3 linked regions of the Pelodiscus sinensis genome follow. The protein of the gene in region 1 binds, or shares a complex with, the protein of each later gene. Links are inferred from orthologs where the notes say so. Each region holds a gene or a part of one and is shown on either strand. Other genes may lie near its edges. The genes, in order: MED8, MED13 and MED18.

Region 1 (3,742 bases):
GCCCCCCCGCCCTACGGCCCCCCCCCCCGGCTCACCGCCCTACGGCCCCCCCCCCGGCTCACCGCCCTACGGCCCCCCCGCCCTACGGCCTCCCCCCCCGGCTCACCGCCTTACGGCCCCCCGCCCTACGGCCCCCCCCGGCTCACTGCCTTACGGCCCCCCCCGCCCTACGGCCCCCCCCCGGGCTCACCGCCCTACGGGCCCCTACGGCCCCCCCCGGCTCACTGCCCTACGGCCCCCCCGCCCTACGGCCTCCCCCCGGGCTCACCGCCCTACGGCCCCCCCACCCTACGGCCTCCCCCCGGGCTCACCGCCCTACGGCCCCCCCGCCCTAACGGCCCCCCCCCCGGCTCACTGCCCTACGGCCCCCCCGTGCTACGGCCCCCCCCGCCGGCTCACTGCACTACGCCCCCCGCCCTAGCGGCCCCCCCCCCTACGGCCCCCCCGCCCCTACGGGCCCCCCCCCCGGCTCACCGCCCTACGGCCCCCCCCGCCCTACGGCCTCCCCCCCCACGGCCCCCCCCCCGGCTCACCGCCCTACGGCCCCCCGCCCCGCCTCCTACGGCCCTCGCCCCCCCCGGCTCACCGCCCTACGGCCCCCCCGCCCTACGGCCTCCCCCCCGGCTCACCGCCTTACGGCCCCCCCGCCCTACGGCCCCCCCCCGGCTCACTGCCTTACGGCCCCCCCGCCCTACGGCCCCCCCCCCCGGGCTCACCGCCCTACGGCCCCTACGGCCCCCCCCGGCTCACTGCCCTACGGCCCCCCCGCCGGCTCACTGCCCTACGGCCCCCCCGCCCTACGGGCCCCCCCCGCCCTACGGCCCCCCCCCCAGATCACCGCCCTACGGCCCCCCCCCGTCCTACGGCCCCCCCCCAGCTCACCGCCCTACGGCCCCCCCCCGCCCTATGGCCCCCCCGGCTCACTGCCCTACGGCCCCCCCGCCCTACGGCCCCCCCCCGGGCCTCACTGCCCTACGGCCCCCCCCCACCCTACGGCCCCCCCCGGCTCACTGCCCTACGGGCCCCCCCACCCTACGGCCCCCCCCGGCTCACTGCCCTACGGCCTCCCCGCCCTACGGCCCCCCCCGGCTCACTGCCCTACGGCCCCCCCACCCCTACGGCCCCCCCCGGCTCACTGCCCTACGGCCCCCCCCACCCTACGGCCCCCCCCGGCTCACTGCCCTACGGCCCCCCCGCCCTACGGCCCCCCCCGGCTCACTGCCCTACGGCCCCCCCGCAGCTCACCGCCCTACGGCCCCCCCCGCCCAACGGGCCCCCCCCCAGCTCACCGCCCTACGGCCCCCCCGCAGCCGGGTCGGTACCTCCGCGTCCCCGCGCTCGCTGCCCGCCATGTCGGCCCGGCCCCGCTTCCGGCCCGCGCTGACCTCTCACCCCCGACCCGGAAGTAGAAGGGGGAGGGGGTCGGTGTCTTCAGAGGATGCAGCCATGCAGGTGAGCGGAGCGGCGGCGGCACCCCCCCCCCCCGCTGAGCCGGCCCGGGGGGGGCTCCGGGGGGGGTCTCTGACGGGAGGGCTGAGGGGGAGGGGCGGGGGCCCCGGGGGGGTCTCTGACGGGAGGGCTGAGGGGGAGGGGCGGGGGCGCCGGGGGGGGGCTCTGACGGGAGGGCTGAGGGGGAGGGGCGGGGGCGCCGGGGGGGGGGCTCTGACGGGAGGGCTGAGGGGGAGGGGCGGGGGCGCCGGGGGGGGGTCTCTGACGGGAGGGCCGGGGGCCCCGGGGGGGGGCTCTGACGGGAGGGCCGGGGGCCCCGGGGGGGGGCTCTGACGGGAGGGGCTGAGGGGGAGGGCCGGGGGCCCCGGGGGGGGCTCTGACGGGAGGGCCGGGGGCCCCGGGGGGGGGCTCTGACGGGAGGGGCTGAGGGGGAGGGGCGGGGGCCCCGGGGGGGGCTCTGACGGGAGGGGCTGAGGGGGAGGGGCGGGGGCGCCGGGGGGGGGCTCTGACGGGAGGGCTGAGGGGGAGGGGCGGGGGCCCCGGGGGGGGGCTCTGACGGGAGGGCTGAGGGGGAGGGGCGGGGGCGCCGGGGGGGGGCTCTGACGGGAGGGCTGAGGGGGAGGGGCGGGGGCGCCGGGGGGGGGCTCTGACGGGAGGGGCGGGGGCCCCGGGGGGGGGCCCCGGGGGGGGGCTCTGACGGGAGGGGGAGGGCCGGGGGCCCCGGGGGGGGGGCCCCGGGGGGGGGCTCTGACGGGAGGGGGAGGGCCGGGGGCCCCGGGGGGGGGCCCCGGGGGGGGGCTCTGACGGGAGGGCCGGGGGCCCCGGGGGGGGGCCCCGGGGGGGGGCTCTGACGGGAGGGGGAGGGCCGGGGGCGCCGGGGGGGGTCTCTGACGGGAGGGGGAGGGCCGGGGGCGCCGGGGGGGGTCTCTGACGGGATGGGGAGGGGCGGGGGCGCCGGGGGGGGGGTCTCTGACGGGAGGGGGAGGGGCGGGGGCGCCGGGGGGGGGGTCTCTGACGGGAGGGGGAGGGGCGGGGGCGCCGGGGGGGGGGTCTCTGACGGGAGGGGCTGAGGGGGAGGGGCGGGGGCGCCGGGGGGGGGTCTCTGACGGGAGGGGCTGAGGGGGAGGGGCGGGGGCGCCGGGGGGGGCTCTGACGGGAGGGGCTGAGGGGGAGGGGCGGGGGCGCCGGGGGGGTCTCTGACGGGAGGGGCTGAGGGGGAGGGGTGGGGGTCCCGGGGGGGGGGGTCTCTGACGGGAGGGGCTGAGGGGGAGGGGCGGGGGCCCCGGGGGGGGGCTCTCTGACGGGAGGGGCTGAGGGGGAGGGGCGGGGGCCCCGGGGGGGGCTCTCTGACGGGAGGGGCTGAGGGGGAGGGCCGGGGGCGCCGGGGGGGGGTCTCTGACGGGAGAGCTGAGGGGGAGGGGCGGGGGCGCTGGGGGGGTCTCTGACGGGAGGGCTGAGGGGGAGGGGTGGGGGCGCCGGGGGGGGTCTCTGACGGGAGGGCTGAGGGGGAGGGGTGGGGGTGGGGGTGCGGGGGGGTCTCTGACGGGAGGGGCTGAGGGGGAGGGGCGGGGGCGCCGGGGGGGTCTCTGACGGGAGGGCTGAGGGGGAGAGGCGGGGGCACCCGGGGGGGTCTCTGACGGGAGGGCTGAGGGGGAGAGGCGGGGGCGCCGGGGGGGGTCTCTGACGGGAGGGCTGAGGGGGAGAGGAGGGGGCGCTGGGGGGGGGGTCTCTGACGGGAGGGCTGAGGGGGAGAGGCGGGGGCCCCGGGGGGGGTCTCTGACAGGAGGGCTGAGGGGGAGAGGCGGGGGCCCCGGGGGGGGGGTCTCTGACAGGAGGGCTGAGGGGGAGGGGCGGGGGCGCCGGGGGGGGGTCTCTGACGGGAGGGCTGAGGGGGAGGGGCGGGGGCGCCGGGGGGGGTCTCTGATGGGAGGGCTGAGGGGGAGAGGCGGGGGCACCCGGGGGGGGTCTCTGACGGGAGGGCTGAGGGGGAGAGGCGGGGGCGCTGGGGGGGGGGGTCTCTGACGGGAGGGCTGAGGGGGAGAGGCGGGGGCACCCGGGGGGGGTCTCTGACGGGAGGGGCTGAGGGGGAGGGGCGGGGGCCCCGGGGGGGGGGCTCTGACGGGAGGGGCGGGGGCGCCGGGGGGGGTCTCTGACGGGAGGGCTGAGGGGGAGAGGCGGGGGCACCCGGGGGGGGTCTCTGACGGGAGGGGCAGAGGGGGAGTGGCGGGGCTTATTTCAAAGCTCTGATCAGCTTTTGCGGAAAAGCGTCCTGCCAATCTAGACGCGCTTTTCC
Region 2 (3,742 bases), on another chromosome or scaffold:
GGGTTGCTAAGGAATTTGCAACAGTTGGTACTTTGAAAGACTTACAAGATGTTACTCATACTGAGCTGCAGGCCTGATGCAGCCTTCATACTGGTATCCTGCAGACATGCTCAAGCTGCCCAGATTCCCCTCCCCCAAAACATACAACAGCAAGAACAGTAAGACACAGGGTTTACTTACAACAGTCTCTGCAATAATAAATACCCATCAACCTGATACAAACTAATTTGCATTAAAAGGAAAATGAGATGTCAGCAATCCCCATAGCCACACACAAAAATGCACCATCACCCAACCCAAAACAAGCTGGCTTTAGGAGCTGTCAAAAGTAACAGTTAAAAAAATAAAGGATGTGAAATGGTGCACAAGTATAGGCTGGCATATGCATTTGTAAGAATATCATCACCAAAACCAGCTTCTTACGGAAAAAATTAGACAAAGAAAGCATTAAGAATCCAGGAAAAAGGGAGGATTTAGCTGAGATTTTTTCTGGGGCATCACTAAGGGGGATGAGAAAGCATACAAAGTTTGTCTGAGGAAAGGAGAGTAGTGGAGCTACATACCTTCTGTCAGGACTAAAATAAAAATGTGAGAAGGTAGAGCTAAAAAATTAATAGAAAGCAGAAAAAAGTTGGGGGCAAGCAAACAGAATGGAAAATCTAAGTGTTGGGGTAATATTGGCCAAAAGTGACAAGAGAAAGAGGGAAAGACGGTATTATAGAGGCAACGATGTGGGTGGAAAGGGGGGTGGGGAGGAGGAGGAGGAAAAACAGAGGGACATAGAAAAGCTAGCTGGTTCCAGGCAGGGCCTACTCTGAGGACTCATCCAGCAGAAGCTATACTAAAAATGGCTGCTTTGCTTCCACTACCCCTTCCATCCCCCGCCCCCATCGCCCCCCCCCCCTCAAAAAAAACTCTTTCCCTCTGTGTATAGTGTGTCCGCAGCTGGTGGACACTTACCAGACAGAATAGGTTGGAATGGCAATCCTCCAGGCTGGCCCCGTTCGGCACGAAGCAGGAACTCATCCTCACAGCCACAACCCACACGCCATTATCCCACAGCCTCCGACAAGAAAGAAAGAGACAGACAGAGAGAGAGACTGAGGGGAGGGAGAGACACAGAAGGAAGGGGGGAGGGAGGTTACACACACGCACAAATAATACAATTAAATAAGGGAATTTACCCCCACACACACACACAGAATAGTGTCAGGTAAAATATTCAGAAGGAGAGCGGCGTAAAATGGGCAAGAGTCAGAACCTTTCCTTCTCTTCTGCCAAAGCAGGGGGAAAAGACAACAAGGAAAGGGAAGAAAAAAGGAAGGGGTCAATAATCCAACGATGGGAGATTTAAGATACACAATCCTCCCTGCTCCTCTCGTCTACTCAATCGAAGACCAAGGGGGGAGAATAGGGTAACTGATCCAACAAGGGGAGAGAAGTGGGGTAATTAATCCAATGGGGCAGGAAGTAAAATGGGTTCACGACCCCTCCCTCTTATCTCAGTCGCCAAACGAGGGAGTTGAGGAATAAATAATCCAACAGGGGCAATTAATCCAGCCACCTCCCTGCTCTTCCTCGTTTTCTTAATCGCCAGACGAGAGGGGCAAATAGTGGAATGACTGGGGGATGAGTGGTAGAGGGTTGATAGAGTCCGAAGGGGAAGAGGAAGAAGCGGGGGTGTCAGATTCTTCTCCCCCTCAAAATATATTCCAAATAAATTAAAGATTAGATCAGACAAAAACTTCGGGTTTCAGAAACCAGCTGTTTTAAGGATTCCCAAGACTGGGGTAAAATTCTCCCGGGGTGTACCCCAAATCCGCCAGGGGGGTTCTTCAGAAGGGGACCCCGAAAGCCCCCTCAGCAGCAGTCCAGCGAGGTACGTTTTCGTGTCACCATACCCCCCATCAAAAAAAATCCTCTTATCTGAAGGGTGCAACCAGCCCAACAGTCTCCGTTGTGCGTGCAGATTCTTCGCTGGGGGAGGGAAGGGAGAGACACACCAGGGCGCCCCTCCGAGGCGCTGCGGGGGGAGCTCCCCAGGGGCTGCGCCCCGGCTTTTTTCAGAGCCCCACGAAGTCTCTCCTCAGCAGGGGCCTACCCCGAAGTTGCGCTGACCCCCACCAGACCCCCCCCCCGGAGGGGTGGCGCTCCGAGCCCCACCGACTCGCCGTGGGGTGGGGAGGTCCCTCCGCCGGTGCGAACCCCGCAAGTCTTCCGATGAGAGGTCTCTCGGGACGGGGGGGGCTGCACCCCGCGAGCTCCCTAGCTGGGGAGGGAGGGGCCAAAGGGCGGGCTGGACCCCAAACGCTCTCAACGGGGGGGGGGGCCTCCGCGGGCGGGGGGGCCAACCCCGGATCTCCCCGGCGGGGACGCCGCACCCCGGCTTCTCCTCAGCTGGGGGAGGGGGGCGACGCCACACGCTCCGGCCCCGCCGCCGAGACAGAGGGACGCGGCGGCCGCAGTCGGTGCCCCGAAGCCCCTGCTGCCGGGCCTCCTCCCTCAGCGGTGTCTCTGTCGGCGGCTGCCCGGCCGCGGCATCCTGAGCGTCCGGCTCCCGTCAGCGAGTCGCCCCCATGTCGCGTCCCGGCCGAGGGGGGAGGGGGAAGATTCTTTTCCCGTCTAATTCCGAGCCCCTTTTTCTTTAATGGCGGCCACAGGGACGAGAGTCTAGGGGGGCCCCCCCTTCCGCGCGCTGATTGGCCGCCGCCGCGTCACGTGGGCTGGAGCAGCGATGGCCGCCGTCGAGGTTCAGGGAAAGAGGCTGCAATGGCGCAGCCGGGCCGTGGGGGGCTGTGGCAGCGCTAGGGAGCTGCGCAAGAGGGGGCTCGCTGCTCGTTGAGAGAGCGACATCTAGTGGGGCTCCGTGGCGTGGCGCGGGAGGATGAGCTGCTCCTTCAACACTTCATTTTTACATCGCCTCATTAGCAGCGGGCCCACAATTAACAGGTGCCTCCTTTTTTTCCCCTGTTATAAAATACTTACTTATGCATCAGAGGGGTAGCCGTGTTAGTCTGAATCTGCAAAAGCGACGAGGAGTCCTGTGGCACCTTATAGACTAACTGAAGTGTAGGAGCATAAGCTTTCGTGGGCAAAGACCCACTTCGATGCATCTGACGAAGTGGGTCTTTGCCCACGAAAGCTTATGCTCCTACACTTCAGTTAGTCTATAAGGTGCCACAGGACTCCTCGTCGCTTTTACTTATGCATGTTATTCCTCTCCAGCTCATCATCTGATGAAGTGGGTGTTGTCTACAAAAGTTCATGATGCTATATATTTTTGTGAGTCCCGTGGGGCTCATCTACACTATGGAGACGATGGAAACTGCCACAATTGATCTTCCAGGATTGGAAGTAGCAGGTCATGCTAATTCAAACTGGGAGGGCATGCCCGTCGGTGCTGGTAGTCCTAATGAAGACTAAGGGACTTCAAGGGCACATCTGCTCCTGTATGTCTCTTGCTGCATAGACAAGCACCAAAACACAGTTTAAGATACTTCCACTCCAGCTACATAATAAACGTAGCTGAAGTTGCATCTCTTAAGTTGACTTTCCTCTTTAGCAAAGACCATGCCTAAGGTGTCACAGGACTTCTCATTGCTCCTTTGCAATTAGTTTAAACATCAAAGTCCCGCTTTACCACAAGTCTTCACATTGGACACAGAGTTGAAACCTGTCTCCCTACCAGGTCCTACCATTCTGGGCTTTAAATCCCCACCCAAAGAGCTAGTTTAAATCTCCT
Region 3 (3,742 bases), on another chromosome or scaffold:
GGGGAGAGACAATGGGGGCAAGAGGAAGGAAGAGGAGAGGGGAGGAGTGTGTGCCTGGAGAAGAGGCATTGAAAGGAGGGGTGGGCATAAGGAAGGCAGGGGATGGAGCAAGTCATGTGTGAGGGCACAGAGGGGCATGAAGAGAACTGAGTCAGAGAGTGGTGAGGGGGTGGGCACCAGGGAGGGACAGGGGAAGGGGGAGGTACCATGAAAGCGCAGAGGTAAGGGAAGATGCAGGTGCCAGGAGATTGTGGGAGTGAAGCAGAAAGGCAGACACTGGGAGGGGAAGGACGGACACCAGAGGAGAGAGGAAGGGCAGGGGGGTAGAGGAAGGTGTTAGGAGAGGGGATGGGGAGGGGTAGCTACGGATGATCAGAGTGGGGCTAGAGGAGGAGTGGACACAGGGCTGGTGCAGGAGAAGGGGGGTAGGTCCCCAAAGGGCTGAGGGGAGTGAGAAGGGCAAGAGCTAGGACAGCAGAGGAGGGTGAGGGGTGGAGGGCAGCAGGCACCAGGGGAATAAGTGGGGCGAAGGGAGGGTGGGAGACATGTTAGCGGAGGGAAAAGGGAGAGGTTTACAAGATATTTAATAATAACTTGGTTGCCACAGTGGCACACATTGGCAGTGGCAGATATAGGGCAGGGCGAGTGGGGCAGCTGCCCCGGGCCCTGCGCTTCAAGAAGCCCTGCGCACGGCACATGCGCTGTGTCCAAGGGGGGGCCCCATGAAATTGTGCTGCCCTGGGCCCCGCAAAATCCTCATCCACCCTTGCACATGGGAACAAGCGCCCATGAACTCAATACTGATGCACAAGACAAAATTCACTCTGCCTGTGGGAGGAAAATCTGAGCGGGAACAGTCCCTCAGCCTCTCCCCTCGCGCTAATGCAATGCAAGTGAATGCTCTTGCAGTACAGTTGCATGCGGGGGCCAGACCCATCGCTACTGGGAGGACAGGGGAGAGCTCTTAGCGGGGTCACAGAGCCCCCTTCGCGTCTGCTCGCTTGGCCGTCGGGCCGGGCCGCACTGCCTGGAGGGGTGGGGCGAATGGGGCTCGGGGGCGTGGCTGACGTGGGCCTAACTTTGGTTCAGAAACTGTGGGCCCCACAGTGCTGGGCCCCGGGCCCTGGCTGCGTGGCGGCTGCAGTAAGGACCGTTCCCTCGCGCGCCTGCCCGCCCGTTGGGCGCCATTTCTGACGCGTGACTCTTACCCCAGAACGTTCTTCCCCCTCTCGCTAAGGAGCTGGGCCAGAGAACCAACTTCAGCCTCTTTGGGGCGCCTCGGGCAAGGCGAGGGGGAGGGGCAGCCCAGGGGGGCCGGGCGGGGTTAAAGGGGGGGGGGCATCTCGCGCACTAAACCGAACCCCGCCCCGCCGCCTCACTCCGCCCGCTTGCCTGCGGCGCATGCGCAGGAAGCCGCTGGGCCTGGGCGGTGGAGGTGGGGTTCGCGGAGCGGAGCTGGGCGCGAGGGAGCAGCCCGTGTAGCGCGGCGCCCTAGAGGTGAGTGGGGAGCGTGCGCCCTGCGCAGGGGGCCCCAGGACCCTCCCGGGCCGGTTCCCACGCGCCCCCTCCCTGCGCCGAGCCGCAGGCTGGAGCCGGGCTGCGCCGCTTGTCCCCCTCGGGCTGCGGGGGGCGCCCCCTCCCAGGCCCCTCCGCCGTGTCGGGGGGCTCCCCGCGCCTGGCCGGCCGCTGCAGTCATGGGCCTGGTTTCTTTGTGCTTCATCTAGGGAAGCCAAAGCCATGGAGGCCCCGCCCGTTACCATGATGCCCGTCACTGGCGGCACCATTAACATGATGGAGTATTTACTCCAAGGTAAGACGGCGGGAAGGTGCGTTTGATTTCGGGTTCCACAGGCCGCGAGGTTCGTCTGAACACGCCCAGCTTGCCTGCGCCCCAGGCGTTGCAGTTGGGGAAGAGGCGGCCATACCGCGAGAAGGTCCTTTTCTGGAAGAGGTTGACGTTTAGGGCTTAACGCTCCAGCAGCAGGGATCTGGCTCTGACCGTGCACTAACTCCTGGACTCCAAGAGGAACTCCTAGGGACCGTCTCCCCCTCCCCTTTCCAAACTCCTTTTTGGTGCAGGATAGTCCCTTAGTGCAGACTTGTTCTGGGCTTTGCTCTTGCCCTTGTAGTTTTTGGTTCTGTGGCAAATCCCTCTGAACGATTTGGTGATAAACTTCTTTGTAGTTATTAACTTTCTTGGCGTCTGTGTGCTGCTGTTGTAGTTACAGTGCAGCATGCAGACATTCAAAACCAGCAGCAGTGCACCTTCAGGTCCTTGATGTGTAGGGAGTGTGTTCAAGCAGTTAGAACTAAGTTATTTTCCTGACTGTTGTTTACTGTCTGATCTTGGGCAAAGTCATTCAGGTGTTGTACACCTCTGATTCCTTTTCTAGAAAATATAAAATAAGGGAATAATCCTCCTTTTGTAAAATGCTTTGAGATTCCCAGAGAAAGAGCACTGTGTATATATTTCCTGCAGCTTTTGCAGCCTCTGCTTTTTGAAAAATGAGCATTGTTTGCTTATTTGCTCCTATTTTTTAATATGGTGAGATAGTTTGGGATATCCCATGCACTGCTGGAAGTAACCATGCAATCTTTGTGACAATAGTAAGCTTTTCAGTGGTGAAATAATTATCTTGTTTTAAATCAGGAAGTGTTTTGGATCAAAGCCTAGAGAGCCTCCTTCACCGGTTGCGTGGTTTGTGTGACAACATGGAACCTGAGACGTTTCTGGATCATGAGATGGTGTTCCTCCTGAAAGGGCAGCAGGCTAGTCCCTTTGTCCTGAGGGCACGGCGCTCCATGGACAAAACTGGAACACCCTGGCACTTGCGCTATTTGGGACAGCCAGAAATGGGAGACAAAAACCGCCATGCTCTGGTGCGCAACTGTGTTGACATTGCCACATCAGAGAACCTTACTGACTTTCTGGTGGAGATGGGCTTCCGCATGGACCATGAGTTTGTTGCCAAGGGCCATGTGTTCCGCAAGGGTATCATGAAGATTGTAGTGTACAAGATCTTTCGCATCCTGATTCCAGGAAACACTGATAGCATTGAGCCCTTGTCTCTCTCCTACCTTGTGGAGCTGAGTGTTGTAGCTCCAGCAGGACAAGACATAGTGTCTGATGACATGCGAAACTTTGCTGAGCAGCTAAAGCCTTTAGTTCATCTGGAGAAAATTGACCCCAAAAGGCTCATGTAAAGGACTCAGCAAATAATCTAGTTCTAACAGCCTCTTCATGCAAAGACTGGACAAGAGTTTATATACCAGTTTCATTCTCCAAATAATGGAGGAGAGATGTCTTAATATTATTTCATGAGACAGGAAATACAACTATCAGAATCAGTAATACAGTGGAGCTGACTGCACGCTGTTGCCAAAAGAGGAATGTATTTTTTTCCCACTTTTTTTTTTTAACTTAGCAATCTTAGGTGTTAGTTTATCTGCTAGTGTTACAAATAAGATGAAAATTAGTTTTTCAGGCAAAAGGTGTTACCCCTTCAACAAATATAGATTTTTTTTTTTTAAAAGCTAGTTTCCTTAGTTAGGACTTGGTTTTCAAAACTGAACTCTCAAAACATAACTTACTTTTAAGACTATTTATTTTAGGTACTTCAGTAAACTGGGCCTATGAAAATAATCTGATCAGTTTCTCTGATTTCTAGTCAATTCCTTTTTCTGCTTCTTACCTATTTGTAAATGTCTGCAGAAGAAGCTTGTAGATATTTAAAAGTGGTAT

Evidence for each region.
Region 2: MED8 (region 1) and MED13 share a complex: the UniProt entries of both Homo sapiens proteins name them as parts of the mediator complex. The link is inferred for Pelodiscus sinensis from reciprocal best matches to the Homo sapiens genes MED8 and MED13.
Region 3: MED8 (region 1) and MED18 share a complex: the UniProt entries of both Homo sapiens proteins name them as parts of the mediator complex. The link is inferred for Pelodiscus sinensis from reciprocal best matches to the Homo sapiens genes MED8 and MED18.

Annotation. Positions count from the first base shown.
Region 1 is NW_027465825.1:11,712-15,453, forward strand, and holds the start of MED8 (mediator of RNA polymerase II transcription subunit 8), read left to right. Parts: upstream 1-1,408; 5' UTR 1,409-1,446; coding exon 1,447-1,452; intron 1,453-3,742. UniProt on the Homo sapiens protein: Component of the Mediator complex, a coactivator involved in the regulated transcription of nearly all RNA polymerase II-dependent genes.
Region 2 is NC_134731.1:5,977,329-5,981,070, reverse strand, and holds the start of MED13 (mediator of RNA polymerase II transcription subunit 13), read right to left. Parts: upstream 2,695-3,742; 5' UTR 1,027-2,694; coding exon 961-1,026; intron 1-960. UniProt on the Homo sapiens protein: Component of the Mediator complex, a coactivator involved in the regulated transcription of nearly all RNA polymerase II-dependent genes.
Region 3 is NC_134716.1:84,449,490-84,453,231, forward strand, and holds the start of MED18 (mediator of RNA polymerase II transcription subunit 18), read left to right. Parts: upstream 1-1,358; 5' UTR 1,359-1,497; intron 1,498-1,724; 5' UTR 1,725-1,737; coding exon 1,738-1,810; intron 1,811-2,650; coding exon 2,651-3,204; 3' UTR 3,205-3,742. UniProt on the Homo sapiens protein: Component of the Mediator complex, a coactivator involved in the regulated transcription of nearly all RNA polymerase II-dependent genes.